Caenorhabditis elegans: one gene and its partners. The protein of the gene in region 1 interacts with the protein of each later gene in a pairwise test. Each region holds a gene or a part of one and is shown on either strand. Other genes may lie near its edges. The genes, in order: ant-1.1, pqn-54, mpz-5 and cdap-2.

Region 1 (8,106 bases):
TTGCATCTTCTAGTGATAGTCTCTTGAAGTCCTCATCTTTGGATACTGCCATGAAATGTTTCTGAAATTTAAAACTGATTATATAAATATGTAAATTTTTGACTTTTAAAAATTAATTTATATTTGAACACTACAGTAATCTTTAAAGGCGCACACGCTTTTGGATTTTCCAAAATCGTTCTTCGTTTTTTTTTTGTTTGAAAATAGTGAAAAATCGAAATATTTCATTTTTCCATTTTAGAAAATTAGAAAAATCAAAAATAAAAATTCTGATAATTACCGAAAAATTCGAACATTCATGTTTTCGATTTTTGATTTTTTTTGAATTTTTCTGTTTTTTTTTTCGATTTTTCGGAAAATCTAAAATTTTCGATTTCTCGATTCTTTGCAAATTGCAAAGAATTGAACTTTTTTGATTTTTGGTTTTCTCTGAAAACTACCGAAAAATTTGAAAATTTTGTATTTTTTCATTATAAAAAATCCGAAAAATCGAAATTATTTGTTTTTCGATTTATTAAAGATCTTGAAAATCAAAAATTCTCTTTAAAGGCGCACATGCGTTTATATCGTACAAAAATCGATCGTGTCGAGACCTGGAAATCTTCTTGACAAAACTGTGATCGTTTTTACCTGTATATAGTCATCAGTCATTTCTGTAATCTTCTCCTCGACGCACATCATTTTACAAAATTCTCGAATTGAAAGTGCATTTGACGGATGAAGACGAGTCAGGAGAAAGTTTCCACAATGTTGCACAACTTCCAGCATTTGGAAAAAGTTTGCTCCTAACATTATTGATTGAACGTTGCCTGGAAACGAAAATCTAAATAAAGATTTCTTCAAACAAAAAAATACTTACTTGTGGTTATTCTCAATTCTCCGGTATACGCAAATGACAGAAGAGCATCCACAGTTTCGTAGTTCATATCTGAATCTGGTTTATTTTTTTTTAGTAAAAATAACTTTCAGAGTTTTACCTTCAATATTTATCTCTTTCATGTTGGCTTCCATCAAATCCAATGTGAACATACCGCGAAAATATGGAATTGTGGCTGCGAGTATTACCTGAAAGCTTGATTTCGGTTAGAAAAAGTCGCATTAAATTGCTTTAAAATTACTTTGTGTGCTGATAGCTTTCGATTTTCAACCAACAAGGCCACATCGCAGAGCTGACATTTCGATCGCAGTTCGTTGAATATTGAGTAGCTTTTTTTATACATTTCATCGAGAATATCGACTTTTATAAAGTCCAAATCGTCATCTGTGTAGAGGGGGATTTTCGCAATTTTATCATGCTTCACGTCAGATGCGAACATTCTGAAATTGAACATATTTTTAAAAAATTCATAAACTTTATAACAGAACAAAACATCTTATATTTATAAGATCTTATTCTCCCACGAGAATGCCGAATTAAAACACGAGAAATGCGCAAACAAGAGAGCATAGAGATTTGAGAGACACAAACAAACATCGCAAAGTACGCCAGCAACCACTCCTTGACGCATATTGATTTTGTGAAGCTAAGAATTCGATTTTTCATTTAATTTTTACAAGGTTTACAAGAGAAGAAATTTAATCAGTTTTCCCACCTCAAAAATGCTTAACTATGATAAAATGGAAAAAATTGGAGAAGGTAAGCTATTCCCTGCCCATTTTTCCAGCCAAATTGTTGACTTTCAGGAACCTACGGAACCGTTTTCAAAGCCAGAAACAAAAATTCAGGAGAAATCGTTGCGTTGAAAAGAGTAAGGTTGGACGATGATGATGAGGTACTCAAAAAGCATTCAAAAAAATAAACTAAAATTCAAATTCAGGGTGTTCCAAGCTCTGCTCTCCGTGAAATTTGTATTCTCCGCGAGCTGAAACACCGAAATGTAGTAAGGCTCTACGACGTTGTTCACTCAGAAAACAAGTTGACACTGGTTTTTGAGTATTGCGATCAGGATTTGAAAAAATTTTTCGACTCGCTGAATGGGTATATGGATGCACAAACTGCACGATCCTTAATGCTTCAACTTCTCCGTGGTTTATCCTTTTGCCACGCTCACCATGTACTTCATCGAGATCTCAAGCCGCAAAACCTGCTGATTAATACAAATGGGACACTGAAACTAGCTGATTTTGGATTAGCCAGGGCGTTTGGCGTCCCAGTTCGATGTTTTAGTGCAGAAGTTGTCACGTTATGGTATAGACCGCCGGACGTGCTTTTTGGAGCGAAATTGTACAATACTTCAATTGATATGTGGTCTGCCGGGTGTATTTTTGCAGGTTTTTTTTAAAAATTAAATTTGCCAATAAATTTTCCTAATTTTTACTTTTTCAGAGATCTCAAATGCCGGTCGTCCATTATTCCCCGGTGCTGATGTTGACGATCAATTGAAACGAATTTTTAAGCAATTGGGCAGCCCATCCGAAGATAATTGGCCATCAATTACACAACTTCCAGATTATAAGGTATTACATGTCGTAGTTCTTTGAATTTTTTGTATTTTCACCTCTACATATTCTTATCAAATTCTCTTAGTTCTCTAATTCCGTCTTCTTATCTTTTCCATTTTACCTGCCACGATTTTGCCGCTGTCCTGTCCTCCCGACTACTATCCGCCCGTGTCAATTGGTGAAAAACTAAAAAAGAAAAAGATAGAAAGAAGAAATGATATTGAGTACTTTGAGCTCAGCTGTTTGTTCGGGTGACGTAATTCATACAATCACGGGCGGCTGGGACAGGACAGAGAACAGAGTATTGAGTAGATTTAGAGAAGCAGAGACAACTGTTCTAGATTTAAGATTGACAATAATTAATTGAATTCCATTGCATTATAGGAACACACAAGTATAACATACCATTTTTCAGCCCTACCCAATCTACCATCCAACGCTTACATGGAGCCAAATCGTACCTAATTTGAATTCACGTGGCCGTGATCTTTTACAGGTAACTTTTTTCCAATAAAAATTATACTTACTCAAACTCGAAGTATTTGCAGAAACTTCTTGTTTGCAATCCAGCAGGAAGAATCGATGCCGATGCAGCTCTACGCCATGCGTACTTCGCAGACACTTCTGACGTCTAACTATTCACTATTGCACTTTCCTACTCACATTGTTTTCTCGCTTTCCCTGGCATTCACTTCCCCCACTGACCCCAAATGAACCTCATTGCTTGCGAAACAAAATCTCATCGTTAATAAACGGCTACGGTTTGAAATCTTTCTGTGGCACATAATTGAACGAAGGGAAAATCAACAACGTTTTATTGTTGTTCGAGTAATTTTAAAGATCAACGGCAAACACAGGTGCAATAACCGAGATTGTCAAACCGAGTCCAGATAAAGGGGCTATCCTAACGAATGTTCAATCGGGGTGTTGAGGGAAAGAATGAGAATTTGAAAAGGGGAAAACTTTAATAGAGGATTTAAAACTTTTTATGTGGCTCGCTTTATTTTTGAAAACTTAACATAGTAGCTAGGTGAACTACTTTGCTAAAACAAGCTACATAACGAGATTTTGTTGGACAATGACAAGGTAAAAATTATCAAAGTGTTATCAAATTTAAAGGAACTTCTGGATTTCGTCGTAGATGGCCAAGACGAGGGCTCCTCCGGTTCCACGGAAGACGTTGGAGAGGGCTCCCTTGAACATAGCGGACATTCCTTCGTTTTGGATGATCTTCTTTGCGCAATCGAGGGTGTTTTTGTAGAGGATATCCTTGCGTCCAGACTGCATCATCATACGACGACGAACAGTGTCCCATGGGTAGGAAAGGATTCCAGATCCGACTGTGACAACTTGAGCAATTCCCCAAGCGGCGAAGAAGTTGAGTTTCTGTCCATCAGAAGCGAAGACCATCTTGGCGGTATCGAACATTCCGAAGTATGCGGCACGGTAGATGATAATTCCTTGCACGGAGACGAAGAATCCTCTGTAGAGTCCGATTGGTCCATCGGATTTCACGATCTTGATAAGGCAGTCAGCAAGTCCCTTGAATTCACGGTCGTTGGCCTTTCCAATATCAGCAGCAAGACGGGTACGGGCAAAGTCGAGTGGGTAGACGAAGCAGAGGGAGGTGGCTCCAGCAGCTCCTCCGGAAGCCAAGTTTCCTGCGAAGAACCTGAATTTCAAATGTGAAATTTTCTAAAAACAATAATGCAATGTTTAACTTACTTCCAGAAGTCCTTCTTTTTGTCGAGTCCCTCAAGGAAGATTGCCTTGTATGTGTCCTTGAAGGCGAAGTTCATGGCCTGAGTTGGGAAGTACCGGATGACGTTAGCGAGGTTTCCTCTCCAGAGGGCAGCAACTCCTTGCTCCTTTGGGACACGGATGAGAACATCCATGATTCCCTTGTAACGCTTGTCAACGGCGATAGCCTTGGAAGCATCTTGGACCTAAAATTTTTCATATTTATAGTGGAAAAAAGTTTCATCACACACCTGGAGGAGAAGCTTGACACGCTCAATTGGGGCAACAGCGGTCTTGGAGACGGCAGCAGCGGTACCTAAAAGAAAACAAAATTAATTAAATCACAAATTTGACGAATGAAAACCCAAAATTAATAATTATAGAAATCCTCCAAATTTTTGCAATAAAAACTGAAAAAGCTTACCTCCTGAGGCGAGATCGATCAAGAACTTTTTGGTGTCGAAGGACTTTTCTTTGGACATGATTCAAGATTGAAGGACCTCGGTGGTCGGTGCTTGCCAGAAGCAATAGTGGGAAGACGGCCGCCCGTCGAAACGGGGTGCGCGCACAGCCCGTGAGGCACTTTGCAGGTCTCGCCACGCTCGCAAGTACGGTGCGTCAGGCGCGGCGATTCAAACACTAGTTTTCTCTGACCGCCCAGTTTTGGGATTTTTTGCATATTTTGAGCCTAAATATCAGTTTTGTTATCGATTTTTCGTATTTTTCTTTTCTAAACGTGTTCGTTCCTTCATTCCTGAATTTTTCACGTTTTGTTTTATTAAAAAAACGTGATTTATTTTCGAAAAATAGGTCATAACTCCAAGAAAGTAACTTAATTGCGAAAGTTTCAGTTTTTATGAAAATTATGAGCCATGTCAAAGCAAACACAATAGTGTATTAGTGATAAGCAGTACTTGAAGTGTTTTTTGTTTATTTACACTGTAGATAACTGGTTATTCGTAACCTCAATGTTCCGAAAAAAATCGATATCGCATTGTGGCTAATTTATGCCTACGGGAGTTTGGTATGACCGGTTTTTCGAATCGCTTTAAAGTAGTTTTCTTCATATTTCTCTTCTCATCGAGCCAATGACTTGTCACTATCATGGAATTTTTTTCGGGTATCAGTATGTCGAGCCACAAGGAAGAGCCACTCGAGGCTGACGTCGATCAACTTACTCAATACCGTGAGCGATGTGCCGACCATGTCACCGAATTCAAGAGTATTCTCGACGAGTGCAACGATCGTGTCAACTCTCGTTCTAACACTGAGGAGACCTGCCATCAGGAGATGGCTGACTACGTTCACCATTTGGATCACTGTGCCATGCCAAAGGCCTTCGCTTCGTTGAAATAATATTTCTTTTCCTGCTTTTTTTGAGGATTTCTCGTCTAGTTTATGTGAATTTTCGCTCTCGTATTTTTTATCCGTCGCTTTTTCCGTGTATTTGAGAGATAAATAAATAAAAATTTAGGGTACCCCATCCGCATCACTGCTGGACAACAATGCCGTCTGATGCGAAGAAAGCACGCGAGGCCGCTAAGAAGGCTGCCGCCAAAGGAGGAAAAGGAAAAAAGAAGGTGAGCAATTGATTTTTAGTTTTTTTTTGTTTAACAAATAATAATCATCTCATTTCCAGGTAGAAACACCAACCGCCATGTCATCTCAACATCCGTCCGTCAACAGTCTCTGCTGTTTAGACGAGGAGCTCGATCAGGCCGCCGCCACCTTGGCCAAAATCGAATTGGAAAACGCTGCTGCTCGTTCAGTCGCCGGATCATTGACTTCCGATCCAAAGGGTCTTGATCACAGAGTAGAAAGCCTGACGGTAAGTGGTTTTTAATTGGCGACTCCAACAAGTAACTTTGTTTTCATTCAGATTACATTCCACGGTCGTGAAATTGTCGTTGACACGAAACTCGAACTCAACCGTGGACGTCGTTACGGACTCATCGGATTGAACGGATCTGGAAAGTCTACCATCATTCAGGCAATCTACAACAAGGAAATGCCAATCCCAGAGTCCGTGGATATGTACCTCGTATCCCGTGAAATGCCTGCTTCAGAGAAAACTGCTCTTCAAGCGGTCGTTGATGTCGATTCAGTCAGAAAAGAGTTGGAACATCTTGCCGAGCAGCTTGCTAGTCAGACTGATGAGGAAAGTCAGGACAAGCTGATGGATGTTTACGAAAGGCTGGATGAAATGGATGCATCTCTCGCTGAAAAGAAGGCTGCCGAAATTTTGCACGGACTTGGATTCACAAAAACTATGCAAATGAAAAAATGTAAAGATTTTTCTGGAGGATGGAGAATGCGCATTGCTCTCGCTCGTGCACTTTTCCTGAAACCGTCAGTCTTACTTCTCGACGAACCGACCAATCATTTGGATTTGGAAGCTTGTGTGTGGCTTGAGGAGGAACTCGCTCAGTATAAAAGAACCTTGTTGGTGGTTTCTCACTCTCAAGATTTCATGAACGGAGTTTGCACCAACATCATTCATTTGTTCCAAAAGCAATTGGTTTACTATGGAGGAAACTACGACCAGTTTGTGAAGACACGTCTTGAATTGCTCGAAAATCAACAAAAACGATACAACTGGGAACAGTCTCAACTTCAACACATGAAAGATTACGTCGCGAGGTTCGGTCACGGTTCTGCCAAACTCGCTCGTCAAGCTCAATCCAAAGAAAAAACTATGGCTAAGATGATTGCCGGAGGCCTCGCTGAAAAGGCTGTCACTGAAACCGTGAAACAGTTTTACTTCTTTGATGCTGGGGAGATTCCACCACCAGTTATCATGGTTCAGCATGTTTCATTCCGATACAACGAGAATACTCCATGGATCTATAAGGATATTGACTTTGGAATTGATTTGGATACCAGAATCGCTTTGGTCGGACCTAACGGAGCTGGAAAATCGACACTGTTGAAGCTTCTCTGTACTGATGTGATGCCAACTGACGGATTGATCAGAAGACATTCGCATTGTAAGATTGGACGTTATCACCAGGTTGGGAATTTTTATGAAAAAAATCTGCTGTCCAAACAAAATTAGAAAATCCAAAAATTTAGTGAAAAACATTTCATTCAATTCGAAAGTTACACTATTTCTGAAGCAAAAGCAAGACAATGACCAAGACCAGGGCGATAATAATCCATCTCAAATTGTCAACTTCCTCCTCGGCATGCTCATCTTGCTTCACAGTTTTCATCGCTGGTGTTTGCTCAGTCGGTGTCATAGCCTGTGTAACAGCAGTGTTTGGACTGGTTGTTGAAGCTCTGAAATTGATCATTCTTATTCTTAAATTTCTGGTCGAAATGTGTGGGAATATTCTAGATATCGTCTGTGTAAATATGCTAATTTAGCCTGGCTTTTGACCACTTTCATATCAGACTTTGAACTAAATTGAACAAAACTCACGGAGTAACACCCAAATCTTTGCCGACAGCATCAAGAAGAAGTTGCTCAATTGGTGGAGCATCAGCATCGCACTGCTTCGAGGTGCTCACACGAGCCATTAGACGCGTGTTAGTTGGTGCCTCATCAGCCGCTTTCATTCCTTGATGCATGAAATAAGTTGTCAGCAGAAGCTTAGGCGTACCAAGTTCGCTCCACTGAGTGACACCATCTGGCTTCTGCCAAGTGAGAAGAATGCGCATTTGGGATTTCGGTGCAATGTGTCCTGATCCTGCTGGAAGAGCTGTGATGTTTGACGCCGCGCTGCAACGGAGCTTGACGAATATGTCACGGTCAGAAATGTTGCAGAGAAGGAGTTGAACACGAGCTTGATCGCCTTTATTTCGAATGGCTTGAAATGTCAGCAGTGTGGCTTTCATCTCTTTGTTGGGATCATCTCGGAGAGTGCGACGAATTGAAAGACGCGATCGAGTTTTCTTGCTGCTTGACGATTTCTTGGAACTTTT
Region 2 (7,967 bases), on another chromosome or scaffold:
CAGAAACTGCATGCTTATCACGAACACCTCGTCTCTAAAACTGTCTCAAATGCTCCCAGTTATTCAGAACCCGGCACTATTCGCTGGGCTTCATTTCTTCAACCCTGTTCCAGTGATGAAGCTTGTAGAAGTTGTATCAACTGATGAAACTTCTCCAGAGACCACAAATTTCTTGTTCAACTTCTGCAAAGAAATCAAAAAGCTGCCGGTCGCCGCGAAGGATACTCCTGGATTCATTGTCAACCGGCTATTGATCCCATATCTTATGGACTCCATTCGCATGCTGGAACGTGGAGATGCAACTAAAGAAGATATCGATACAGCCATGCGATTTGGAACTTCTTACCCAATGGGACCAATTGAATTGTGTGACTATGTTGGACTTGATGTTCTGCAGAGCACTTTGAAAAGTGAGATTTACCAACTCCTTTTCTAGGTTTTATTGAACCCTTTCTAATCTTTCAGTCTTCCGCGAAACCATCCCTGGTGACGCCCGTTTTGCACCAATCCCACTTATGGACAAATTGGTCGCTGAAGGAAAGCTTGGCAGAAAAACGAAGCAGGGATTCTACACGTATTGAACACTTTTTGAGCATATTTTTTGTGTACACTACTTGCCAGCTTTTTGATGTATATTTTGCTTCTTACAGGTCATAGTTTCAGAGAAATAAATATTTACATTTGAAGTTTTTGATAATCTAGAATTTTTGTAATAATGTCCATAACATGGAAAATGTCTAAATTGGCACATTGAAGTAATTCCCAAGTTGAAGTAAGTTGTCTCAGGAAAAGTACACTACCGAACTGGTGCAACTCTATATTTACTAAAAATAAATTTCTGGAACAGTTTTTTGGTATTTTTCAAATAAGCTAATATATTTTCTTTGTAATATTCAAGAGCGTATCTATTAAATTTATGTTTTCAAATGTAAATTAGAAATTCTTAAATATTGCCAAAAAATAATTTAAAACAATTTTTTGAAAAACGATTCAAAGATTATTCACAATAAGATTATTGAAAAATATATGATAAGACGTTTGTAAAGTTTAGTTTCAGATCAATAATAAAAATTGTTATATTTTGCTCATGAATTATTTATTTGCTTATAAAAAAATCTTTTAGATAAATTCATCTATAACCTCTCAAATTCTTCTTTCTCTTCTTTTTCCTCCTTCTCTGGTAGTTGTGACAATTTCCTGCCAACCGTTGATAAGCTATTGGTTTTCACCAAGTAATAAATAAAGAACATATGACCACAAGAGACGAACCCGTAAGAAATAAATATACAAATTGCAAAAGTTGCCGGTAATGGGAGAATAATGACTAGAACATCTTTTAAAACGGAGAACGTTTGGCACAACGCGTTGTGCATTCCGAATACTGTATTTCGTTCTCGTTCTGGGATGGTGACTTGCATTATGTGAGTGATAGCCAGATCCAGGCACCACAATCCTGAAAATTGATTATTAAAATTAATTTTTAAAAAATTCCTGATTTTTTTGACATTTCCTAATATGTATTAGTTAAAACTTGAAATTTGACCGGCTTTTCAAGCGGCTGGAAACAATTTTTTTTTTGTAATTACTGTCAAATTTTGAGTACAAAATGTAATTATGTTGCGTTTTCAACTTGAGATTTTTAATTTTTTTAAACCAAAACTTGCCGTCCATCGACTTTAAAATACCTATATGAAGTTAAAACACAAGATAATTACATTGTATACTTAAATTTTGACCATGGTTTCAAAAAAAGATAGTTTCCAGCCGCTTGACAAGTCGGTCAAATTTTCAATTTTAACTAATCTTAGCCCATTTTTTGAGCCGTCATAACTTTTTTTTGAGAATTTTTCAAGGAGTTTCATTATAAAATTAGGAGTTTTCAGACAATTTTGAGCCTGATAAGGTAATAAAAAATTCGACTACACCACCTTAAAAAAAACCCAAACTCACCATATCTTGCGGATGCAATCGCAATCAAGAACACAAAGATGCTGGCCAAACTGACACCATCAGACGAAAAGTGCTTCCAATCAACATGTGGGTCCAAGTTTGTAGCGTTATTCCCGTCGAAAGAGTGAACCATATCGTGCCACCAAGTTCCCATAGTGAAGTTTCCAAAGTATCCACCAAGGTTCATAGGAGATCCCGGGAGGAACACGGATATAACTGCTAGAACCGCAAAAAACTGCTGAACAACCAATCCCAGTAGTCCTGAAGTGGCGACACTGTATCGCTTTTCGAAGAATGCGTAGGAAAACGCTCCAAGGATCGCAGTCACGGATCCATAGGATCTGAATGCTCCGATAACAAATTCCGGAAGCCCTACACTTGAGCCATATCCTACAGCTAATCCATCAAATCCCATCACTGTCATGAATAGAAGACTCATTCCAAATGCAGCTGGGAATGAGATCTGGCACCAGTACGTGTAAACCACAGATTCTTTGAGCCTTGAATTGGCGAATGGGTCTAGCGCTTCATCTTTCTTGTCTTTCTTCACTTGAAGCAGAGGATTGGAGATGTAGATTGCTCTAAGGAAAATGGTTTTTGAAGCCATTGAAACAAGAGAGGCTATACCAAATATTCCAACTGTTTCACGAAGACCAACCCAGGTCACCAGAGCCTTAACTTAGTTTGTTTTTACTTTGGAATTAAAAAGCGAACACAGAACTAACACCAGTTACTAACGGTGCAATAACATTGGTACATTGATCCAATGTCAACAGAGTTGCGTTCATATTCGACAGTGTACCATCATTTCCGAGTACCATAACCCAATCTCTGCCTGTGATGAACTTTTCCGCGTTCAGGAAAAGCCGGTTCACCGCGCATATGCACATTGCTAGAACCAGGCAGACTATGTACCACGGTGACGTGGCATCGATAGACAGACAAGCTTAAAATATTTTAGCTTCGAGTACCTACATCAGTGTCAAATTAGAACTCACTGATAATAAGAGCAGCTGCAGCACAAATACTCAAATTGTTCAACGGTACGACGGTCATGATTGCTGAAATTGAAAACTTGATTTTCTCTTACAAATACTCACGAAATAAGTATTTGATTGTAGTTTTTGTTAGGTCAATGTGATACTTGAACAAATCATTTTTGCAGTAATCGAAATTTGTAAAAATGAATCGTTCACGTGGAGTCAGAACGTCCCATTTTGCTGTGATCTTCGAAAAATGCGAGAGAAGAGACGCAGAGATCTCATCTGATTTTGCATGGTTAAGAGCGTGCTGACGTCACAATTTTTCTGGTAAAATATTCCCATTTGTCGTAGATCGAACCGCAATGAGGCAGGCTGACACCACGGGATCGTTTAGTTGTCTACCGTACCCCGTTTCCTCGAGAGCCCGTCGAAATGCTTTCCTAAATATCCGCTGAGAAACATTTGCAAGACTCCCTCGAAAAGCTGCTCAATGGAAACCACTCTCATACCACCCATCAGGTCCATACAAAGAGAGACACAGAATGACCAAGCCCTGTCTTCCTGTAAATAGTATCGAAAAATTGAATGTTCATGTTTTTCCACATTGAACTAAAAAACAATTTTGAAGTTTATAAAAGTATGCGAATTTCTTTTTTTTTCTTCCTAGTTTTAAATTCCCTCTACACTCACCAAGCATGTCGAAATATAGGCACAATACAAAAATATGCTCGTTTTCGAAAGGGTGCCACTGTTTCGTCGATTATTCGGTTGTTGAAAAGTCATTGTCACAGGAATCAAACTGGAAATCTCTGCACTTCCATCGCCCGCGACACACTTACTGATTTCCATGTTAGCGATAACCTCTATATATTCTGTGATAACGGGCAGGAAGTTCAACAAAGTGTTGGTGCACATACATCATGAATTTTTTCTCTTGTCAATCAAAGATTATTTGAATAGGCCACTCGAGTGCACTGCTCACCGTCTCTTTTTTTTTCATCTTTGCTCGTCTTACCGAACACTTTTTCACGCGATAAATTGTTTGCCGCGCGGCATGAGAAGGCGGAAGATGGTTGGGATAGTTTCAAGCGAGATGGTATATAAGCCCACAATCAAATGGAAATACTCATCCGATACTTTCGGCTCTAATCATGCGCTTCACCTCCCTCGCCATTGCCTTCTTCGCCTGCGCCCTAGTGGTGTCTGTAAGTTGTGCAAGATCTAAAAATTTGAGTCTACGAATATTAATTTTCAGGGCAATGTGCTTCGTGAGAAGAGACAATGCGGATGTGCTCAACCCCAGCAGAGCCAATGCTCGTGCCAACAGGTTCAACAGACTCAATCGTGCTCGTGCCAATCTGCTCCAGTTCAGCAACAATCCCCATCATGCTCTTGCGCTCAACCACAACAAACCCAGAATGTTCAGGTTACTAGCAAACTTATGCTATAGCTCCAAAGAGAGACTTTCAGGTCCAAACCACTCAATGTGCTCCAGCTTGCCAACAGAGCTGCACCCAACAATGCCAGGCTGCACCATCGGTAGCCCAGTGCCAGCCACAATGCCAACAGCAGTGCCAATCCCAGTGCGCTCCAATGTACAATCCACCAGCCACCACCACACCAGCTCCAGTCGTCCAATGCCAGCCAATGTGCCAACAGCAGTGCCAATCCACCTGTGTTCAGCAACAACAACCAGCTTCCCAATGCCAGCCACAATGCCAGCAACAGTGCAACGTTGCCTGCGATGCTCCAGCCACATCCACTCAGGCACCACAAGTAGTCCACATCCAACTCGAGATCCAACAGGCTCAAGCTCAATGCCAACCACAGTGCCAGCAACAGTGTCAATCATCCTGCACCCAACAACAACAGCCAGCTAACCAGTGCAATTCGGCTTGTAACAGCCAGTGCTCCAACATTTGCCAACAAACTGCTCAAGCCACTCAACAGGTCTACAACCAGAACTCTAACACCAACACCCAAATGTACAATCCATACAACAACAACAACCAAGGTTCCGGATCCGCCAACTGCGCCCCAGCCTGCCAGCCAGCCTGTGACAACTCCTGCACTTCTCAGACTCCAGCTCCAATGTACAACCCATACGATGCCAGCACATCCGCCCCAGCATCTTCCCAAGCTGTGATCCAAATCGTTCTCCAATCCTCCGTCGCCCAGTCCTCCCAGTGTACTCCACAATGCGAGCAGTCGTGCCAGCAGCAATGCGTTCAGCAACAACAACCAGCCGCTCAGTGCCAGTCTGCCTGCCAGGACTCGTGCTCCAGCTCCTGCCAAGCCGCTCAGCCAGCGACTACGGCTTGCCAGCAGAGCCCACAAAGCCCACAAAACTCGTGCTCCTGCCAAGCTAACTACTCTCCATGCGGAAATGGACAGTGCTGTAGAAGAAAGTGAACGGACTCTGAACAATGACTTCAAGTTTTTGTATATAATGAAACCAATTAGTTTCACAAGAACTTAATAAACAACTTTGATATTTTAATTGATTTACATTATTTGGTTTTTTATTGTCTAGAAAATGAACAATGACTACAAAACTTATAGCTGGCTCACAGTTTATTGACTAGATTAGCACTAAAAAATAACATGGCCGCTTTTCAAGGAAAGGTTTTTATTTTATTTTATTTTTTAATGTCAGACTTCAAAACGAGACAAGTGCCATTTAAAAGTGTTCCATAAGGATATATTACTACAAAATTTTAAGCGGCAAAGCTCCACTCTCAACCCCTCTAGCATCGATCTGAAACTGTTACAGTGCACTTCTTCACTACTTTGGAGGCCTGTAGAATTGCTCCAAATTTTTTTTGTTGCAAACTTTCAATGTTTTTCAAAACGGTTAAAAGTAGGTAAGCATTCTGGAAAATTTTTGAAAATTTTTAAATTTTTTCAAAAAATCTGAAAAATTTTTGAACCGAGTGGAGTGGATTGAGGAAATTTTTAGATTTTTTTTTCAAAAATTTTTTAAAATTTTTAAAAATTTCCCAGAATGTAAACTTATTTCTAGCCGTTCTAAAAAACATTGAAAATTTGCACAAAAAAAATCAGGACCAATTCTACTGGCCTGAAACAATTTAAGATCGAAATTTTTGGGGTTGAGAGTAGAGCTTTGCCGCTTAAAATTTTGCAGTGACATAGCCTCATGAAACACTTTCAAATGACACATGATGGTTGCATATTACGAAAAAATGTTTCCTATCGATATGTCTCGGTCACCATAGAACCAAGTCTAATGTGAACACGAGACCATAAGAGACATAGAGAGTGAGACGCATTGCATCTTGTGAGTGAAGAGACCTCTGTGCCTCTTTCTCTCTCATCTATCGATTTGCATTTTGACTTGGCTTTATTTTCGGGGTTTTGTGGATTTTTAGAACCTGAGTTTTGTAGCTTATTTGAAATATCATATTTAATATTTAAAGGTGGAGTAGCGCCAGTGGGGGTTTTGTTTAAATGCACTTATAATGATCCAAAACAACCGAATATCATAATAATAATAAAACACTCCAAAAAATTTTAGATTTTTCATAATTTCTGATCAAAGTTTTGGCAAATCGCCAAAATTTTGAAAAATACGAGCTTTTGAGGAAATCCAAGGCAATGTCGCATGTTCACACCCCTACAATGTTTTAATACAAATAATTAAAACAAAATTAAAGTATAAAAAATGTAGGAAAAAATAAGTTTTTTGGTCGAGTTCCAAAATTACGAGTAGCAAAAACTGTGTAATTGCCACTTTTTGACAGTAAATAAAAAATTTTCAAAAATTTTTTGGAAAGTTTTATCATGATATTTGGTCATTTTGGGACTATAGGAGTGGTTTTTAACAATTTCCCCACTGAGGCTACTCCACCTTTAAATTTGAGGAATCAACCCCCACTGCTCTAATATGGAACATCGTGACGACGACTTTGAATTTGGACATCAATTTGGCGGGGACGAGGAGGAGGAGGAAGAGGAAGAAGCGATTGATGTGGATAGTCCAGATGAGTTGGATGTTGACGCCGAACCTGATGACGACTCTGATATGGAAGTCTATCATATGGAGACGAATGGAGCCGCCAATGGAAATGGAAGACAGGTCATTGGAGAAACGGGTGATGAAGAGGAAGATGATGACTATGATGAAGAAGACGCAATGACTTGGGATTCGATGTCAACAATCAGTGAAGTTGAGGTGGAAAAGGATGATGACGAATGGTATCCATTGATGAAGAGAGATAACGTGTTTCCGAACTTTGCATTACCAACTACCACGTGAGTTTTTTCTCTACGGTTTTTCAAAAAATTGATTTCCGGCAAATCGGCAAATCTCAAAATTTACCGAGCTCGGCAAATTCGGCACAATTGCCGTGCTTAACAAATTCCGAAAAATGTTATATTTTTAAATATTTTTTGGAGCACTAAAAGTACTGAATTCTTAACCCGCGTCTTTTTTTTTTGATTAAGTTCCGTGTGAAAAATGTAAAAATGACTCAATTTTGTGTCATTTTACATAATTTTTGGGGAAAAAATCAATAGTGTTGGTCAAAATTGTATTTTTAAATTTTTGATGTATAGAGCAAATTTCAAAATTTGCCATGCTCGGAAAATTCGACCAATTTGCCGCACACCGGCAATTGTCAAAACTTTTCGGCACGTTGTGGTTTTGCACATTTTTTTTGGTAATTTCAGAATTTCAATTTTAATCGGCAAAATTGTAGGCATCCTATGAATGTGCCTATATCTATTTTGAAAAGTAAGAAAATTCTATGAAAATATCAAGAAAAACAGGAATAAAATAGGACCAGTTTTAAGTGCTTCCGTCTTATAAAAAATCGCTTTAAAAACTTCCGGCAAATTGGTAATTTACCGAAAATGATATTTTCCGGCAAATCGGCAAACCGGCAATTTGCCAATTTGCCGAATTTTCTTACGTTTCGATTTTTCTCGTGCCGAGCTTCAGTTCATATCCCTATTTTAACTTTATTAGTATTGCCAAATTTCATATTAAAAATATTAAAAACAAAAAAATAGCCA
Region 3 (7,341 bases), on another chromosome or scaffold:
CTGCAGAGACGAGAGCTCTACTGAGTTGATCTTGAGGAATTGTTTTACAATGGGCTAATATGAATTGAATACATTCTAAATGACCATTTCGAGCGGCTTCAACAATTGGTGAAGTCTTTCCAGCAGTTAAGTCTCCTCCTTTTTCTATGAGCATCTTCATAATTGCACTGAAACATTTAAGAATTTAAAGAAATAACTATAAACTAAACAAACTTACATGTAACCATTTCTTGCAGCTAAAGATAACGGTGTATCTCCTGTGTCTGGATTTGAAACATCAACTTCAGCATGCTTGGATAACAATAACTTGACCACACCAGCTTGATCACCTTGATCGCCAGCACACGCTTCCATCAAAGGCGTATTCTTCTTATTACTGAGCTCTTCAATCTTGGCACCAGCTGCGAGGAGAACTTCTACAACTTCTGGATATCCGCCAGCACTTGCAACAATCAAAGGGCTCGGCTCAATTGTGACTTCTGTGCATAGATCAGCAGGAGTTCCACGTGAAAGCATAAGTTTACACACATCGATGTGGCCTTCCATTGCTGCTTCCATCAGAGCAGAATAACGTTCGAGGCATAACTCTTGTTTTTCTTCTTCCGTTTGTGGCGGATTCTTTTCGTAGTAATCCATAATTGCGGTGACGATTTTAATGTGACCTTTTTGAGCGGAAAGAGTCAGAGCCGAATCCTGAAAATGTTACAAATAGTTTTGAGTTAATAACTTTTTTATATATTATCTGTACAACTTTAGGATTTTTGTTGCTTTTTTCGAGAGCCGAAAAAACCGAAGTCCCAGTGTCCCGTGAATTCTTCAAGTATTATTTTTTCATTATAACTCAGTTTTAGAATATATTAACATTAGACTGTCACTTTTAAAAATGTGTTTAAATTGCCCAATATAGTGGTTATAAAATATCACCATAGAGAGATATTTACAACCAATTGACTCAAAAATTATGCTCTTGGGAATGCATTTGAACTCTTCCTTGTTGTTTTATTATTATGTGGAGATATATGAGAGGTGAGTGACATTCGAAAAAACTCGACCCGAATATCCATTATACAGTTGAAAAGACCTTCAGAATTTTATTTTTATCTGTTTTAAAGTTTGATATCAATATAAGTTTTATAAGACTTACAATTTAAAAAAACAATGTCTTTTTTCCATAAAAAACAAATTATTTTTGTGATAATCTGGAAAATGTATACAAATTTCCGGTGGAACTTTCTTTTTATTAAACCTTTTTTTGAGATAGAAATACGGAAACTTACTCGTTCTTGTTGTCGAAGATTAAGAAATCGAGGCCTATAACCCATTTCCAAGAATTCTTTCAAAGTATCCGTTCCACCAACAAGTGCAACTTCCATCATTGCATCATGATAATGATTATTGATAAGATAAACATCTGGCTTCTTGGGTCCTTCCGTCATTAAAATCTCTCGTACAACATCTCTTCCATCTGTTGATGCTGCATAAATAAGTGCCGTATTACAGTTTGGAATCGACGCAACATTCGGATCGGCGCCCAATTCAAGAAGTCGTCGAACAATAGTTTCACTGGAACTTGCAGCCGCTTCCATTAGAGGAGTGATTTTTGATAGTTTATCACCACGAAACTGCATAACTCCAATTTCGTGAGAATACTCAACAAATTGTTCAATCTGAAGGAATAATTATAGTTTGAAATTTCATGAAAAACGTTTCTAAATGACTTACACCAACTCGAGCTGCAAGAAGAAGCATTGCATTTTGCTGAACAATTTGACTATCAATGGAAGGAAGTTGACGAAAATTGATTATCGAATCTTTTTTCTCGTTATTCGAAGGTGTGGAATCGAATACTGAAATTTAATATTATTTCTGTTTATTTTCTTTATTTTTTTTTCCAGAAATTTATCACCGTCCATGTTATCGTCCATTTCAGTCAGTCACATCATAAAGCTAAAACAAACAGTTTTTAAGCATATTTTCTTATTCTGTACTAACACTCAATGTCTATTATAAAATGTTGTTAATGTTGTTTTACTTTTATTTTGTGGATAAGTTCAAAGCGTTACGAGATCCTAAGGCATTTTGAAATCAAAAAATGTTTGAGCATAAAAGCTTGATTTTGTAATATTTGTACGATTTTTGTAATATAGTATGAAATAACGGGCTGTTTTTTTAATCAAAACTTACCACCATTCTCGTCGCTGAGTTGGGTTTCATCGTTGTCTTCAAGCGAATCTTCGTCAAAAACATAAATATCACGAATCGCTGCTTTCATTAATTCTTCGGCGAATGTAGTGGCAAGAAAGCTGAAAAATAATTCTATAATGTTTTTTTTATTTTTTCAGGTTCCTTTTTTCCGTCAATCAATTTATAATTTTCAAAATGTCTAGAAAATTGAGCATGAAATGCGATTTTGTATTCAAAAATAATAACAAAAATTTCATTTTCATAACTTTCGACTGCAACTTTCGACTTTTTCGGAAACTTTGCAAAAAATAACCTATTCCGCAATGTCATTCCAACGTGTTTCATAGAAAATGGAAAAAAATGGCGCTCCTGATTTTCAATTTTTCGGTATATAATTTTTGATATGTACTTTGTATAAGTGCTAATTTATTTAAGGTGAATACTCGAAAAATTCCAATTACTTATTCAATCAAAAATTTCAATTTGAAAACTCACGAGTAAGCCATCGAGGAAACCGAGGTAAGTGCATCGACAGCATTTTTGATTGGAACCTTTTTGGGATCCAAAGGGTTGTACGGTCCAAATCTTTCAGGTTTTTCACTTTTATGATCTTCAAGAAGGTCGGATATTTTAAAAAGGATTTGACAATCATCCATTTGTCGACTCTGAAATTAATAAAAATCGAGACTTTAAACTAATTGAAATATTTACCTCAATTATATCGAGAAGGTTGGAGACCGGGGGAAATCGACACTTGTCCGATGAGAGGAAATGCTCAAAATTGAGAATTTTGAGAACAGTTGAGATGGCTTTTGTCGGAAAATGCTCACAGTCATCGTCTTCGATTTCGATGGCAATTGTGTGAAGGCAATCGTAAAGCTAAAATATAAATTTATTGAAATTTTTTTAGTCGAACAAAAATAGCTCACCCTAGCACCAAAGTGGTAAAAAGATGAAAAAACTCGTTGTCGTTTTTCTTCGTCTGCTCCATCCATATCCATTTCTAATGGAATGAGGTGATTGAACATATTAAGGTGAGCCATTCCACCTTTGGCTAAACTAACACGGTGGTCTCGTCGCTTCTGAAATTTTTAAAATAATTGATATTGGAAAATTCTGAATTTTTAAGCAAAAAGGAAAATACAAAGAAAAATGATTGTTTTAACTGAAACAATAATCTTAATGGTAACTTTTCAAAACAAAAATTTTCTTCCGGAAACCTATGTGGCAGGTGAAGAGGATAACCCATAATTTCAAAATGTTGGAAAACAATTTATTGTGTTTCTTCCATGAAAGTAAGACACAGGCGATGTTCGGAGAAGTTGTAGGCGCGTGACAGACATAATACACGTCTTCTTCCATCTGCCCTTTTCGTTTCACTATCGGAACAACGGCATGGCAACGGGCATGAGGAGGAAAGGAATTAGGGAGGATGTGAGAAGATGAATCGATGGATGATAGTGATAAAGAAGGAACATATTGATTATTGTTCGCAATAACATTCTAGAAAATTTAGAAAATCCTAAAATTAGCATTCAAAAAAATAAATGACTTCGTAGATCCGAAACGCATGTTACTTTTTGAATTAAACATAATGATTTCTTAACAATCGATATAAACAATTTTCTCAAATATATTAAAACTAACTTTATCAAAACTAGAAAAAAATTATGGAGGATAATCCGAATACTCGCGCATAACGCATCCTCCTTTTCCCTAACGAAATCCAGTTACGAGCAATAGAAATGTAAACGAAGTAATATGAAAAATGATTTTGCAAACTTCAAAAATTAAATGAAACTGAAAAATTCAATATTCCTCCCAAAACCATGCAAGAATTGAGTCTTGGAAAGCTGGTTGGCAAATTCGAAAGAAAATAATGGGTTCGTAAAAGCGTCAGCACGAGAATTGCGCCAGCAACTTGTGCTGACGCATTTGCTGTGCGTGCTCCCAAAAAATAAAAAAAAGGTTTTTATGTTTTGTGAATAAAAAAAAGTTCTGTACAGAATTCTGTTTAAATGTTTGTAAAAAACAGAAATCGACAATTCGTGATAAAGAAGAATAGTTTTAAAAATTGTGTTATTTTAATATTAAATTTAATGTCACGTTTCCAATTATTTGGATTTAAGAAAACGTTTTATAAAACCTGAAAATCAAAAAAAAATCATTTCCCAATTGAGTTTTCATACAAACCGATCGAATTATGAAGAAAAATGAAAGCGGCAGCGTAAGACAACTGAAACGATTCAAAATAAACATAAATGAATTAAGTTGGCTCTTGATAAAGATTTCAACATTGACAAGCTTTTGCCAAAGGAATTGATCGACCATTTCATGATTCGAAAGCCAATAGGAGTTCGTGTACACAAGCAGGATTGTCGGGTAATTGTCAAATAGTATTTATTCAAATTCTTGAGCTCTTGATCTTGATTTTGGGACACCATACATAATTCATATTCAGATCACACATGTCCTTCCTGAATCACATCTTATTGGAAAAGCATTTCTAGGTGATTGTATCACTGCAATCGATGAAAAAGTTATCCACACTAGTGACGAGTTGCACCAAAAGTTGAAAGAGAAAACTGAGGTGTTAATATTTCTGAATCGAGTGTTTGCAAACGAAAATTTCAGAATATTCATCTACAACTGAAACGTAACATGTTTTCCTGGTGTTTTCATATTCGAACAACTGTTGAGAAAATCCAAATTGACAGAGATTTAGAGAGAATCACTCCAAATCCTGTTAACCATTACTTTGTGAGACAGCTTTTTAAAAATTAAAAAAAAAACTTTCTTATTTTAGGTTCTCATAAAAGTTCGTCCAACTCCTGAAATGCAATTCATTGACTTGGGATTATTTGTCAAATATAACAATAGAGATCGTTTGGAGGTAATTTAAACTTACAGTAACCACCGCATTTCATTTTCAGGTTGATTATGTTACTCCAAACAGCTTAGCATCCATCCATCTGAAATCTGGAGATGTCATTCGGGAGTGTAATTCTCAGGCAATTTGCTCGAAGAGCATGCTCCGTTATTGTATTGCGAGCAGCATCGCTTCTTCTGGACACTTTACGCTTCTTATTGAAGCACCAATTCGAGATATTCTCAGAGATCACATTGATTTGGCAGATGATGTTGTGGCAATTGCTGATAAGGCGGTAGAGGAGTTCAGAAAATTGGGGAAAGGATATCTACCACAACAACCGAAGAAAGGAGATAAGAAGAAAAACATCAAATTGAAAGAGGGACGTACAGAACATCAGATCGTTAGTGACATTGATCCTGCTAAACTGAGAGCGTGTAAAAATGCTAGCTGAATTTCTCTGATAATAAAGTTTCTACATTAAAATCCTTAAACATTCATAATTAAATATTATACGTTAACAGCAAACAAAATAGTGTAAGAAACAAATATGAGAAAAACTGCGGTTCAAATGGGTTCAAATAAAGCCAGGAACTAAAATGCGAACCGGATATGGATAATTTAAAGATGTAATAGCAATTTATCGTACGAGTTGAAGAGTCTGACCAACAAGAGACGTCACGTCAACTGTTGGATGGACCGCCGATCCATCGACATTCTTCAAGGCAATCTTACCGTTCCAGAGATCAAGAGCAGAGCGAACCTGAAACAAAAACAGATTTAACATTTTAAATTTCTAGGAAAACCCGATAAACATACGTGATATAGAAGATCAGCATATCCCTTCAGGTGTTCTTTTTCTGTTTTCACATGAACTCGAACTTTCTTTGATCCATCAACAACAGTGATCCCATCGAAACTGTCACCTTCGGCGAACAACCAAAGCTGAAAATAATTGTTCAGGAATATTAGAGAACATCAACAAAAACGGAATTTACCTCAACTTCTGAATCCTTAATTGCACTCTTGCTGGTGGCAGTTGGAGCCTTTGCAGCGGCTGGTGGTGATCCCAACTTGATAGGTGTTCCAGTAGCGGATACAATGTCATTCAATTTGGCAGCAACAACCTTTGCGAGTTGAGAATCAGCTGGACTAACAACAATATGAACATGAGCAGTATCAGTAGATACAAGTTTAGCCTGTTTGCGAAGACGTTGAACACGATTTGTCACTTCTCTGCAGAGTCCTTCTTCAATAAGAGACTCATCTTCAGTTGTATCAATCATTACAATGGTCTTTGCATCCGAGTGAGTTTTGTATCCATGTCCTTGATCACTTCCAGCCGCGTAGCTAACAGCAACTTCTTCCGAGGAGAGCTCATGCCCAAGCACAGTCAATTTTCCTTCAAGAAGGAATTTCTCCAACTCAGATTCAGTGATTTGGTTCTTCAAGTAGTCAGCAACCTTCTTTTGTTCTCCCTTGAGACGAGCACCCAGAATTTTGAAGTTTGGCTCTGCCTGTAATTTTAAGTATTATATTTTGAACAAACTTTTTGAAATTTTAATACCTTTAGGGTGATTCCGTATTTCTGTTTATCTTGTGAAACGGTCAATTTTCTGACGTTCAACTCAAGAAGAATATATGATTCCAAACTTTTTACGTCTTCCAAAAACTGACTGTCTCTGTTAATAACAATCATTTCCTTCAATGGATATTTCACAGCAAGTCCTTCACGATCGCGAACAAGACGAACCAAGTCGATAACATTTCTCATAACTTCAACTCGTCTTTCCACAGTCTCGTCGATTAGACTCTCATCCGGTTTTGGGAGCATCAGGAAGTGAACTGATTCCTCAGTCGAACCAATGACTTTCTTCAAATTTAGCCAGATATACTCGCAGAAGAATGGTGTGAAAGGAGCCATCAATCTAACAATCAAAATGAGAACTCGTCCGAGGGCTGCCAAAGCGTGATGTTGCTCATGAAGTCCGTTGTCTCCCTTGACTCTCTTTCTATTTAATCTGATGTAGATATTTGTAAGAGTGTCAAAGAATTTTGTAAGCGGTCCAACAACAGCATAAAGCCGATAACTATCCATTTCTTTCCGAACAAACGCAACAAGACTGTTTGTAAAGGATTCAATCCACCGATCCATGACATTTTCACTGGCAACATGAACGTTCATGTCAAACACATTTCCAGTTTCCTAAAAACGATAATATTTCAATCTCATAATTGTTTCAACATGAATAAACTTACATGTTCATATGCTTGTACGTTTTGTACAA
Region 4 (8,836 bases), on another chromosome or scaffold:
AGAATTTTCTGAATTTTTTTTTAATTTGTGAAATGTTTTATAATTTTTAAAGCAAAATATGCAAAAAATTCCAAAAACTCTGAGATTTAGTGACTTTTTCAAACAAAAAAATCCAATTCTCACCCGTGACATTTTCTCTTGAAGCGCCGCAAAATTGCTCTTCAAAGCCGAAGACGACGGAGCAATGGCTGGCATTGTTGGTGAGGTGGATGTGGGATTCAGTTGAGAAGGAGCTGGAGCTGGAGCAGATGGAGCAGCTGGAGCTATGGTAGAAGGTGGTGGGTCGGCCTGGAAAATTGAGAAAATTGGTTTTGTTTATTTTTTAAAAAACATTTTCAGAATATTAAAAAAAATAAATTAAAAAGCATCAAATAAAAGGTAGACTGAACCTTTTTTGTTGGAATTTTTTTGAAAATTTTATCTTTCATTTTGCGCAAAAATTTGACTTTGAAAATCCTCCGTAGTTAATTATTTAAAAAAAAACATAAAACTCTTTTGCTGGAAGAGTCTATCAGAAAAAAAATCAGTGAAATTCTTGTAGTTTTGCTAACTGAAAATGGATTAAAGGTGGAGTACCGAAATTTGAAACTTTGCTTTCTTAGACCCAAAATAGTCCAAAACTACCGAATTTCGTAATGAAACGTTTAGAAAATTTCTCAAAAAAAGTTATGGTGGTTCAAAGTTCGGAAAAATAAAGCTCATTTTCAGCTAAAATCAAAATTTTTTCCAACTTCTCGGTGTTGCAACGTCTGGAACCTAATTTTTATTTATTCATCACTTTTTAATAAATATTGCGGTCTTTGATTGGGCGTTTATTCGTTGATTTAAGTACATTTATGGTCAGACGGGCACAAAATGTAACTTTTATTTGTGTCCCACTGACCAGAAATGTGCTTAAAACAACGAATAAACGCCCAATCAAAGACCACAATATTTATTAAAAAGTGATGAATATATAAAAATTAGGTTCCAGACGTTGCAACACCGAGAAGTTGGAAAAAATTTGATTTTAGCTGAAAATGGGCCTTATTTTGCAGAACTTTGAACCGCCATAACTTTTTTTTTGAGAAATTTTCAGAACGTCTCATTACGAAATTCGGTAGTTTTGGACCAATTTGGGTCTAAAAAGACAAAGTCTCAAATTTCGGTACTCCACCTTTAAAACTGGCCAAAACAAAAATTCTCGAAAAATGCTTTAATGGCAGCTTGAAATTGGAAAAAAAAGTAAAGTTTTCCTTAAAATTTTGAAATTTCGTCAACTTATTTCAATCACAGCGACTGGAAATTAATGTTCAAATTATCATCCTATTTTGCACACAATAATGTGGTCTCTGATTTTTTTTAAAAATTCAATGGCGCCGAAAATTTGTACTGGAAAAGAGTCTAAAAACTAGGAAAAAAAACATTTACTGGAATTCTTGTTGTAGTGATTGAATTAGAATTGCAAAAAAAAAGTGAGGGAATGTGTGAGAGACGCCGACAGCTCTCCCCAATGATCGAGAATTCAGTGTGTGTGTGTATGTCGGGAGACAGAAAAAAAAAACGAATTTTTCTCTCGTGGGAGGATGAGGTGTCTCTGTGTCTCTCACATAATATTCTGAGTAGGTGGAGATTTGATTTTTCCATCGTTTTTTTCTAAACTCATGAGAGGTGCCCCCGTCGTAAAGAAATTTCGGCGTCGGCTCTCAGATTACCTACTTTTCGTAAAGTTTTTATTACATAACAGGGGTGGGCAAATTTGTCGGTTTGCCGATTTGCCGGAAATTTTAAATTCCGGCAATTCACCGGTTTGCCGCTTTGCCGGAAATTTTGAATTCTGGAAATTTGCCGATTTGCCGGAAATTTTAAATTCCGGCAATTCACCGGTTTGCCGCTTTGCCGGAAATTTTGAATTCTGGAAATTTGCCGATTTGCCGGAAATTTTGAATTCTGGCAATTTGCCGATTTGCCGGAAATTTTGAATTCCGGTAAATTGCCGATTTGCAAGAAATTTTCGGGAAATTGACGGTTTGCAGATTTGCCGGAAAATTTGAATTCCGGCAATTTTCCGATTTGCCGGAAATTTTGAATTCCGGCAAATTGCCCATTTGCCGGAAATTTCAATTCCAGCAAATTGCCGATTTGCCGGAAATTTTGAATTCTGGCAATTCGCCGATTTGCCGGAAATGTTTAATTCCGGCAGTTTGCCGATTTGCCGGAAAATGTAATTCCGGCAATTAGCCCATTTGCCGGAAATTTCAATTCCAGCAAATTGCCGATTTGCCGGAAATTTTGAATTCTGGCAATTCGCCGATTTGCCGGAAAATGTAATTCCGGCAATTAGCCCATTTGCCGGAAATTTCAATTCCAGCAAATTGCCGATTTGCCGGAAATTTTGAATTCTGGCAATTCGCCGATTTGCCGGAAATGTTTAATTCCGGCAATTTGCCGATTTGCCGGAAATTTTCGGGAAATTGCCGGTTTTTTTTAACCAAAACTAATTTGAAAACTGAAAATTAAGATTAAAAATCACCAGTTTTAATTTAAAAAATTAATTTTCAACAGGAAAATAAAGATTGTTTGTTGAACAAATATTTCAAAATTAAAAAAAAACGATTTTTAAAAAAAGTTTTTCTATGGAAATATTAATTTTCAAAATAAATTAATATTGGATTTTTTGGCAAGTTTTCGATTTTCAGCGAAAAAAACCTAAATTTTTATTTTTCCTGCTAATAATCGATAAAACGGAAAAAAATTTCAATTTTTTCGGCGAATTCCAATTTTTTTCGAATTTTCTATGTATATTAATGTTCTAGTTTTTTTTTTTTTTCAATTTTTGAATTTTACCGATTTTGGAGTGTTTTCAGAATTTTTTTCGGTTTTTTTAAAAAGGAATTTTCAGAAAAAAAAAATCACACAACTTTAGGATTAATTATTTCCAGAAATAAAGTGAAACATTTTTTTTTCAATTTTCTCAATAAATCCCCTCCTCACCACTGAAATTTTCGCGGGTTTCGGTGGAACAGCCGGTTGTGGTGGATTGACTGGTGGTGGTTTGTGAGAGACAAACGTCAATGTCGCCTGACGTGAAATCGACCCATGTCTGGCACCGGATTCCGTTCCCAGTGGGACTTGAACCAATTCGACAAAATTATCCGGAAATAAGCCCTTCTTTCCGTGCAGTTCACCTTCAAACCATCCAGCGTCACCGCAGTTCTGCAAAAAATTAGTAGAAATTTGAATTTTTTTGGGAAATAATTTTTTTCCAAATTTTTAATAGCTTTTTTTGTTTAATACTTGATTTGAAGAGCCGTTTTTTGAATTTTTTTTTTTTTGCAAAAAAAGTTTGAAAATTTAAATTAATATTAAATTATAAATTTCAGGCCATGTATTTTTTTAAGTCGAAACTGTTTTTTAAAAAAATCATAAAAATTTAGAATATTTATTTTTCGCATGAGTATGACTTTAAAATTGTTATTAAGCAAAAAAAAAAGAGAAAAATTAAAATTTTGGCATTTTAATCTACAAATTTCCAACTTAAAGTCTAATTCGGAAATTTTAAAACCCAAAAATTAAAATTTTTGCCGGATTTTTCAGGGTATTCAATTTTTTTATCGATTTTTTTTAGAAATATTTTTTTCCAAATTTTTATTAATTTTTTTGTTTAATATTTGATTTGAAGAGCCGTTTTTTGAATTTTTCAGACATTTTTTTTGCAAAAATTTTTTAAAAAAATTAATATGAAATAATAAATGTTAGGTTATGTTTTCTTTGAATAAAATTTCTCAAATTGTTAAAAGCAGCGTTTCAAAAAAATTTTTTTTTAATTTGTTAAGATTTTTTAAGTCAAAACTGTTTGCGCAAAAAATTTCAAATTTTTAGCAAAAAAAAAACTTTTAAAAAACAACTTTAAAAAATTTCTTGAAATTTTCTAGTAAATTTTCGATTTTTTAAATTCTGAAAATTTTTGGGGATAAAAAATTCGGCGAAAATTTGAATTTTGATAAATTCTGTTAAACTTATAATTTTTCCAGTTGGAGTTTATTATAAATATGACGTTTTCAAGCAAATATAATGAAAAAAAAAATTAAAAATTGGGGATTTTAATCTACAAATTTCAAATTTAAAGTCTAAAATTTGGAAAAAAAATTAGACTTTAAACTTGAAATTTGTAGAATAAATTCCTCAAATTTTTAATTTTTTTGCTTGAAAATATATTAGTTTATTAGTTTACTTAACAATTTTAAAACCCAAAATTTTAATTTTCGCCGATTTTTTAAGGTTTTCCCATTTTATTTTCCAACTTTTTATCTAAAAATTGCAGAAATCCTGATTTTTTTTTCCGATTTCAGTGAATTTGCACCTTGTTTGTAATATTAATCAGCATATCAATCTCCTTAAGAGCCAGCTCATCATCGTGTTGGGGATTGTAGACAAATTTCACGCGAGCCATTTCTTTCGTTTTCGTAGTTTCTGCGTCTGTGCTCGCCGAGGCTGCAGAGCTCGCAAATGTGCTGCTGAATTTGGTTTCCAAGGCTTTGAGCACTGGAGCCGGGTCCGAGATTATCTGAAATTTTGATTTATTTGATTTAAGTGAAATTCTTCAGTTTCTGTATTTAAAAAATGTTTGAATAAAGTGCTGAGAAGCCATTTATGGAATTTTTTAATTGGAAAAAAACTATTTTCTTTTCAGTTTTTTAAAATTTAATTTTTCAGTTTTTTTTTGTTTTTGTCGAAGATAACTTTAATAAAAAATTGTAATGTAACAAATTTTAATTAAAAAATTTTTTCACTTCTAACCAGAAACTTACAATTAAAAGCTGAAAAAAAAGAGTTTTGGAACAAATTAAAAAAAAAATGTTTGGATATTTATATTTTTTGAATGAAAAATTAGCTGAAAATCAAAAAATAAATCGGCAAATAGGCAAATTGCCGGAACTTTTAAATTTCCGGCAAATCGGTAAAATGGCGGAATCGTAATTTCCGGCAAGTCGGCAAACCGGCAATTGCCAATTTTCCGGATTTCATCGACAAAAAATTGTTGATTTTCAATTATTTAAATTATTTGAATTTTTCCAAAAATTTGAATTTTTGCCATAAAAACTGATGTCTCAGGCACCGATATTTAAGTAAAATCTGTATTTTTGGGATTTTTCAGATTTTTTTCGCTACACGAACCGTCGACGGAGTTCTATCAATAGCTTTCGGCTCGCTTCTCATCACAACTTCACTTCCAATCGATTTTGCCGGAGTTCGAGCTGCTGAGCCCGCCGAAGTTGATGCACTAGCCGCTGGAGCAACTGCAGCAGCAGATGTGCTCGGCGTAGGCTTCAACGTCACAAAATTCGTCGGGAACATTCCGACGGCTCCAGTCGACTTGAGTTTTCCCTTACTCCAGCCATCTTCAACATCAGAGATCAGTTCGATGAGATCTCCGACGACAAAGCTTAGCTCATCGTCTTGTTTTGAGCTGTAGGCATACGTGGCCACGTATATTTGAGCTTGTGGTTGTGGAGGGGGAGCTGCAAAAAATATTTAAATTATTTTTTTGTAAATTTACACAAATTTTAATTTTTTTTTTCGAATTTTTTAGATATTTTTTTTCAGGATTTTCATGATTTTTTTTTAATTGTTAGAGCTATTTTAATATTGTCCCTCGACGAGTTTTTGAGCACCAGATCGTGAAAAAATCACGAAAATCGTGGCGGGACCCATTCGATCCAAGCCCCGCGCCTTTAAAAATGTTTGGATCTTTTTTTCAGTGTTATAATAATAATAATTGAAAACTGGAAGAAAAAAACATCTTTTTTAATTTGAAAAAAAATTAATAAAACTACAAGATTTTAGTGGAATTTAATTGGAAAAACTTTCAGATCGGCCGTTTTTTCCCCGAATTTTCTAGAGCTTTTTGAGAAATTTTCCTATTTTCTCGGACCAAAGCTCTAGAAAATTCGGAGCAAAAAAACGGCCAATCTGAACATTTTTCTAGTTAAATTCTACAAAAATCTTGTAATTTTATCTTTTTTTTCAAATTCGTCAAAAATAGTTTTTCTTCCAGTTTTCAAATATTATACATACTGAAAAAATATCCAAACATTTTTTAAAGGCGCCGGTTTTGGATTAAATGGGTCTCGCCACGATTTCCATGATTTTTTAAAGATTTGGTGCTCGAAATAACGTGATTAAATTTTAAAAATTAGAAACATTTAAAAAGAAAAATTTTCACAAATGAGAAAATCTCCGGTTTTTTTTTCATTTTTTCGACTGAAATTCTCAAATTTTTCGGTTTTTTTTTCAAAATTTCCAACTTTTTTCTAAAACAAACCTCTCCGTTCCACCTGTTGATGTACTGTAAATGGATTTCGATTTGTCATATCTCGGGAAAGTCGATTCACAATATCTCGCACATTTCCAGCGACTACTTCTGTCTGAAAATTGGCAATTTTTAGATAAAGATTTTAATCTGAAGTCTTTTATTTTTTCAAAAAATCACAATTTTCCGATTTTCTTTTGTTTTACATATGTTTTCTTTAAAAATTGCAGTTTTTACACATTTACTTGGAAAAAATAAAAAATTTTCACTTTTCCTAAAAAATCCCAAAATTTCCCATATTTTTATCCCAAAAATTGTAACTTTTTTTTCAAAAAATCATAATTTTTACAATCTGTTTTTTTAAAAAAAAATCAAAATTCTCACACTTTTTTTCCGAAAACTCTTATTTTTACCAATTGTTTTTGACAAAAAAATCGCATTTTTCTAAATCTTTTCAATCAAAAAATAACATTTTTACGTTTTTTGCCCAAAAATCTTAATTTTTACAATTTTTTTTTCCAAAAACGGAAATGTTTCAAATGTTTTTTATTTGCAAAAAAACAAAATTTTCACACTTTTTTAAAAATCTCAATACTAAAAAATCGAATTATTTTTTCTAAAAAGTCGGAATTTTTTAATTTTTTTAATCAAATAATGGCAATTTTCTCATTTTTTTTATCCAAAAAATTTGCAATTTTCATGACTTTTTCGACAATTTTCTCAATTTTCCAAAAAAAAAAAAAAAGAGATTACGAAATATACTAACTTCACCAACTTGTGCCATTTGTCCTCGATCCGCGAGTGTCCAACAAAAAAAACAGTTCAAGGCGGCTCTCGGATACAATTCTGGAAAAAATCACAATTTTTTTTAATTTTAAAATTAAATAAAGACTTTTGTGATTTTTTCAAGATTTCCAAGGTAACGTCAAAAAACCAAACAACGGCCAAAAAAAAAGGCGAAAATCGATAAGGAATTGTTTGTGCAGTGATGGTGGAAAATGTGGGGCAATAAAGTCAAAAACTTCTGTTATCAGTGGGGAGATGTGGAGAAAAATTTTGAAAAAAAACGTGGAGTGAATTTCAATTTTCACTTCTTCAATTGTGTGAGTTTCCCCCGAATGAGTCATCGCAGTGGTGTCTCCTATCGAGCGCCGCCGCGGGAAAGATCAATCACTTTTCGAACGTGTCCCCCTCCCCCACCCCCCTCTTCAATGCGTTGATGACCTGTGAACAGAAAAAAACGCGGCCAAAACAATAAAATCTCGTAAATTTATATTTTGATCGAGATGACATATTTAGGAATATATAATACGAAAATGCAAAATTCTGAGAATGCGAAAAAATTGTGAAAGTTTCGAAATTTTTTTTGAAAAAAAAAGGTGTAAAATTTCAATTTTTGAAAAGAAAAAAAAATTAAAATCTCGGTTTTTTAAACGAAAATTGAAAAAAAATCGAATTTTTTGAACTAAAAGTGTAATTTTAATTTTTAGATTGAAAACAATGTGAGAATTCCAAATTTTTGACACGCTTTCTCATTCATTATGACGGATATTACACGGTAACACGAAGTTGTGAGAATGCGTATTGCACAACATATTTGACGCTCAAAATATCTCGTAGCGAAAACTACAGTAATTCTTTAAATTACTACTGCAGCGCATGTGTCGATTTACGGGCTCGATTTTTGAAATGAATTCAAATAATTTAATTTAAGATTTAAAAATTAAGCAAAAAGTGAGAAAATAGGTAATACAAAGAAACTACTTTTTTCATGTCAAGAATCGAGATCCCGTAAATCGACACCAGTGCTACAGTAGTCATTTAAAGAATTACTGTAGTTTCCGCTACGAGATATTTTGAGCGTCAAATATGTTACGGAATACGCATTTTTACGAGTTTTGTGTTACAGTAATAACGGTCACAATAAATGATTTCCATTTTTGGAAAGGATAAGAAAATCTCGTTTTATTGGTGGAAAAATTGAATAAAAATCGATTTTCGAGACTTTTTTGTCTAAAAATCAAAATAACACTTTTTTAATCGAATTTTTCAATTTTTTCCTTCAAAAAATCAATTTTTCGCGCTTGTTTTTGATAAAAAGGACTCAAAATTTATTTTTTCGAAATATTTTTGAAATAAAACCAAAAAAAAATTTTTGGACCAAAAAATCGAACTGATTTTCGATTATTTTTTTTGAAAACCGTAAAGCTTTTGAAATTTTTGGGAAAATGCAGAAAACTGACAAAATCTCAATTTTTTAAAGTTTTTTTTTCGATTTTAACATCGCGCGAATTTTTTTGTCGACAAATTCGACAAATCGGCAAATTGCCTATTTACTGGATATTTGAATTCCGGCAATTTTCCGGTTTGCTGATTTGCCGGAAATGTTTAGAGGGATTTTTTATAAGACGGAAACACTTAAAACTGTGCCTTTTTGAAATTTTTTCCCGTTTTCTTTGAATATTTTCATAGAATTTGCTTGCTTTTCAAAACTGATGTAGGAACCAGGGGTGTGCGGCAAATTTGCCGAATTTGCCGAGCTCG

Evidence for each region.
Region 2: the proteins of ant-1.1 (region 1) and pqn-54 interact in a two-hybrid assay, tested with the Caenorhabditis elegans proteins (one large-scale study listed by BioGRID).
Region 3: the proteins of ant-1.1 (region 1) and mpz-5 interact in a two-hybrid assay, tested with the Caenorhabditis elegans proteins (one large-scale study listed by BioGRID).
Region 4: the proteins of ant-1.1 (region 1) and cdap-2 interact in a two-hybrid assay, tested with the Caenorhabditis elegans proteins (one large-scale study listed by BioGRID).

The regions. Positions count from the first base shown.
Region 1 is NC_003281.10:13,459,789-13,467,894, reverse strand, and holds ant-1.1 (ADP/ATP translocase), read right to left. Parts: upstream 4,733-8,106; 5' UTR 4,665-4,732; coding exon 4,607-4,664; intron 4,499-4,606; coding exon 4,434-4,498; intron 4,389-4,433; coding exon 4,168-4,388; intron 4,115-4,167; coding exon 3,556-4,114; 3' UTR 3,243-3,555; downstream 1-3,242. Other genes in the region: kel-3 (BTB domain-containing protein), read right to left, coding at 1-61, 631-809, 860-934, 978-1,065, 1,119-1,316; cdk-5 (Cyclin-dependent-like kinase 5), read left to right, coding at 1,600-1,636, 1,684-1,772, 1,818-2,271, 2,327-2,457, 2,858-2,938, 2,991-3,077; T27E9.2 (Cytochrome b-c1 complex subunit 6), read left to right, coding at 5,311-5,538; tag-164 (Major sperm protein), read right to left, coding at 7,287-7,461, 7,604-8,106; abcf-2 (ABC transporter domain-containing protein), read left to right, coding at 5,688-5,762, 5,822-6,010, 6,062-7,192.
Region 2 is NC_003283.11:1,460,930-1,468,896, forward strand, and holds pqn-54 (Prion-like-(Q/N-rich)-domain-bearing protein), read left to right. Parts: upstream 1-4,060; 5' UTR 4,061-4,084; coding exon 4,085-4,138; intron 4,139-4,188; coding exon 4,189-4,359; intron 4,360-4,403; coding exon 4,404-5,345; 3' UTR 5,346-5,431; downstream 5,432-7,967. Other genes in the region: hacd-1 (3-hydroxyacyl-CoA dehydrogenase), read left to right, coding at 4-410, 466-581; fpn-1.2 (Solute carrier family 40 member), read right to left, coding at 1,134-1,453, 1,951-2,623, 2,676-2,896, 2,949-3,011, 3,341-3,494, 3,624-3,716; gid-8 (CTLH domain-containing protein), read left to right, coding at 6,838-7,205.
Region 3 is NC_003282.8:10,370,832-10,378,172, reverse strand, and holds mpz-5 (PDZ domain-containing protein), read left to right. Parts: upstream 1-4,350; 5' UTR 4,351-4,387; coding exon 4,388-4,411; intron 4,412-4,455; coding exon 4,456-4,566; intron 4,567-4,645; coding exon 4,646-4,774; intron 4,775-4,818; coding exon 4,819-4,944; intron 4,945-4,990; coding exon 4,991-5,077; intron 5,078-5,117; coding exon 5,118-5,507; 3' UTR 5,508-5,535; downstream 5,536-7,341. Other genes in the region: Ankyrin repeat and KH domain-containing protein mask-1, read right to left, coding at 1-167, 218-693, 1,278-1,667, 1,723-1,847, 2,185-2,303, 2,680-2,849, 2,896-3,063, 3,114-3,227; iars-1 (Isoleucine--tRNA ligase, cytoplasmic), read right to left, coding at 5,694-5,816, 5,873-5,998, 6,052-6,570, 6,621-7,259, 7,313-7,341.
Region 4 is NC_003279.8:3,323,536-3,332,371, forward strand, and holds the start of cdap-2 (SH3 domain-containing protein), read right to left. Parts: upstream 7,139-8,836; 5' UTR 7,077-7,138; coding exon 7,059-7,076; intron 6,408-7,058; coding exon 6,305-6,407; intron 5,502-6,304; coding exon 5,158-5,501; intron 4,547-5,157; coding exon 4,343-4,546; intron 3,196-4,342; coding exon 2,974-3,195; intron 289-2,973; coding exon 124-288; intron 1-123.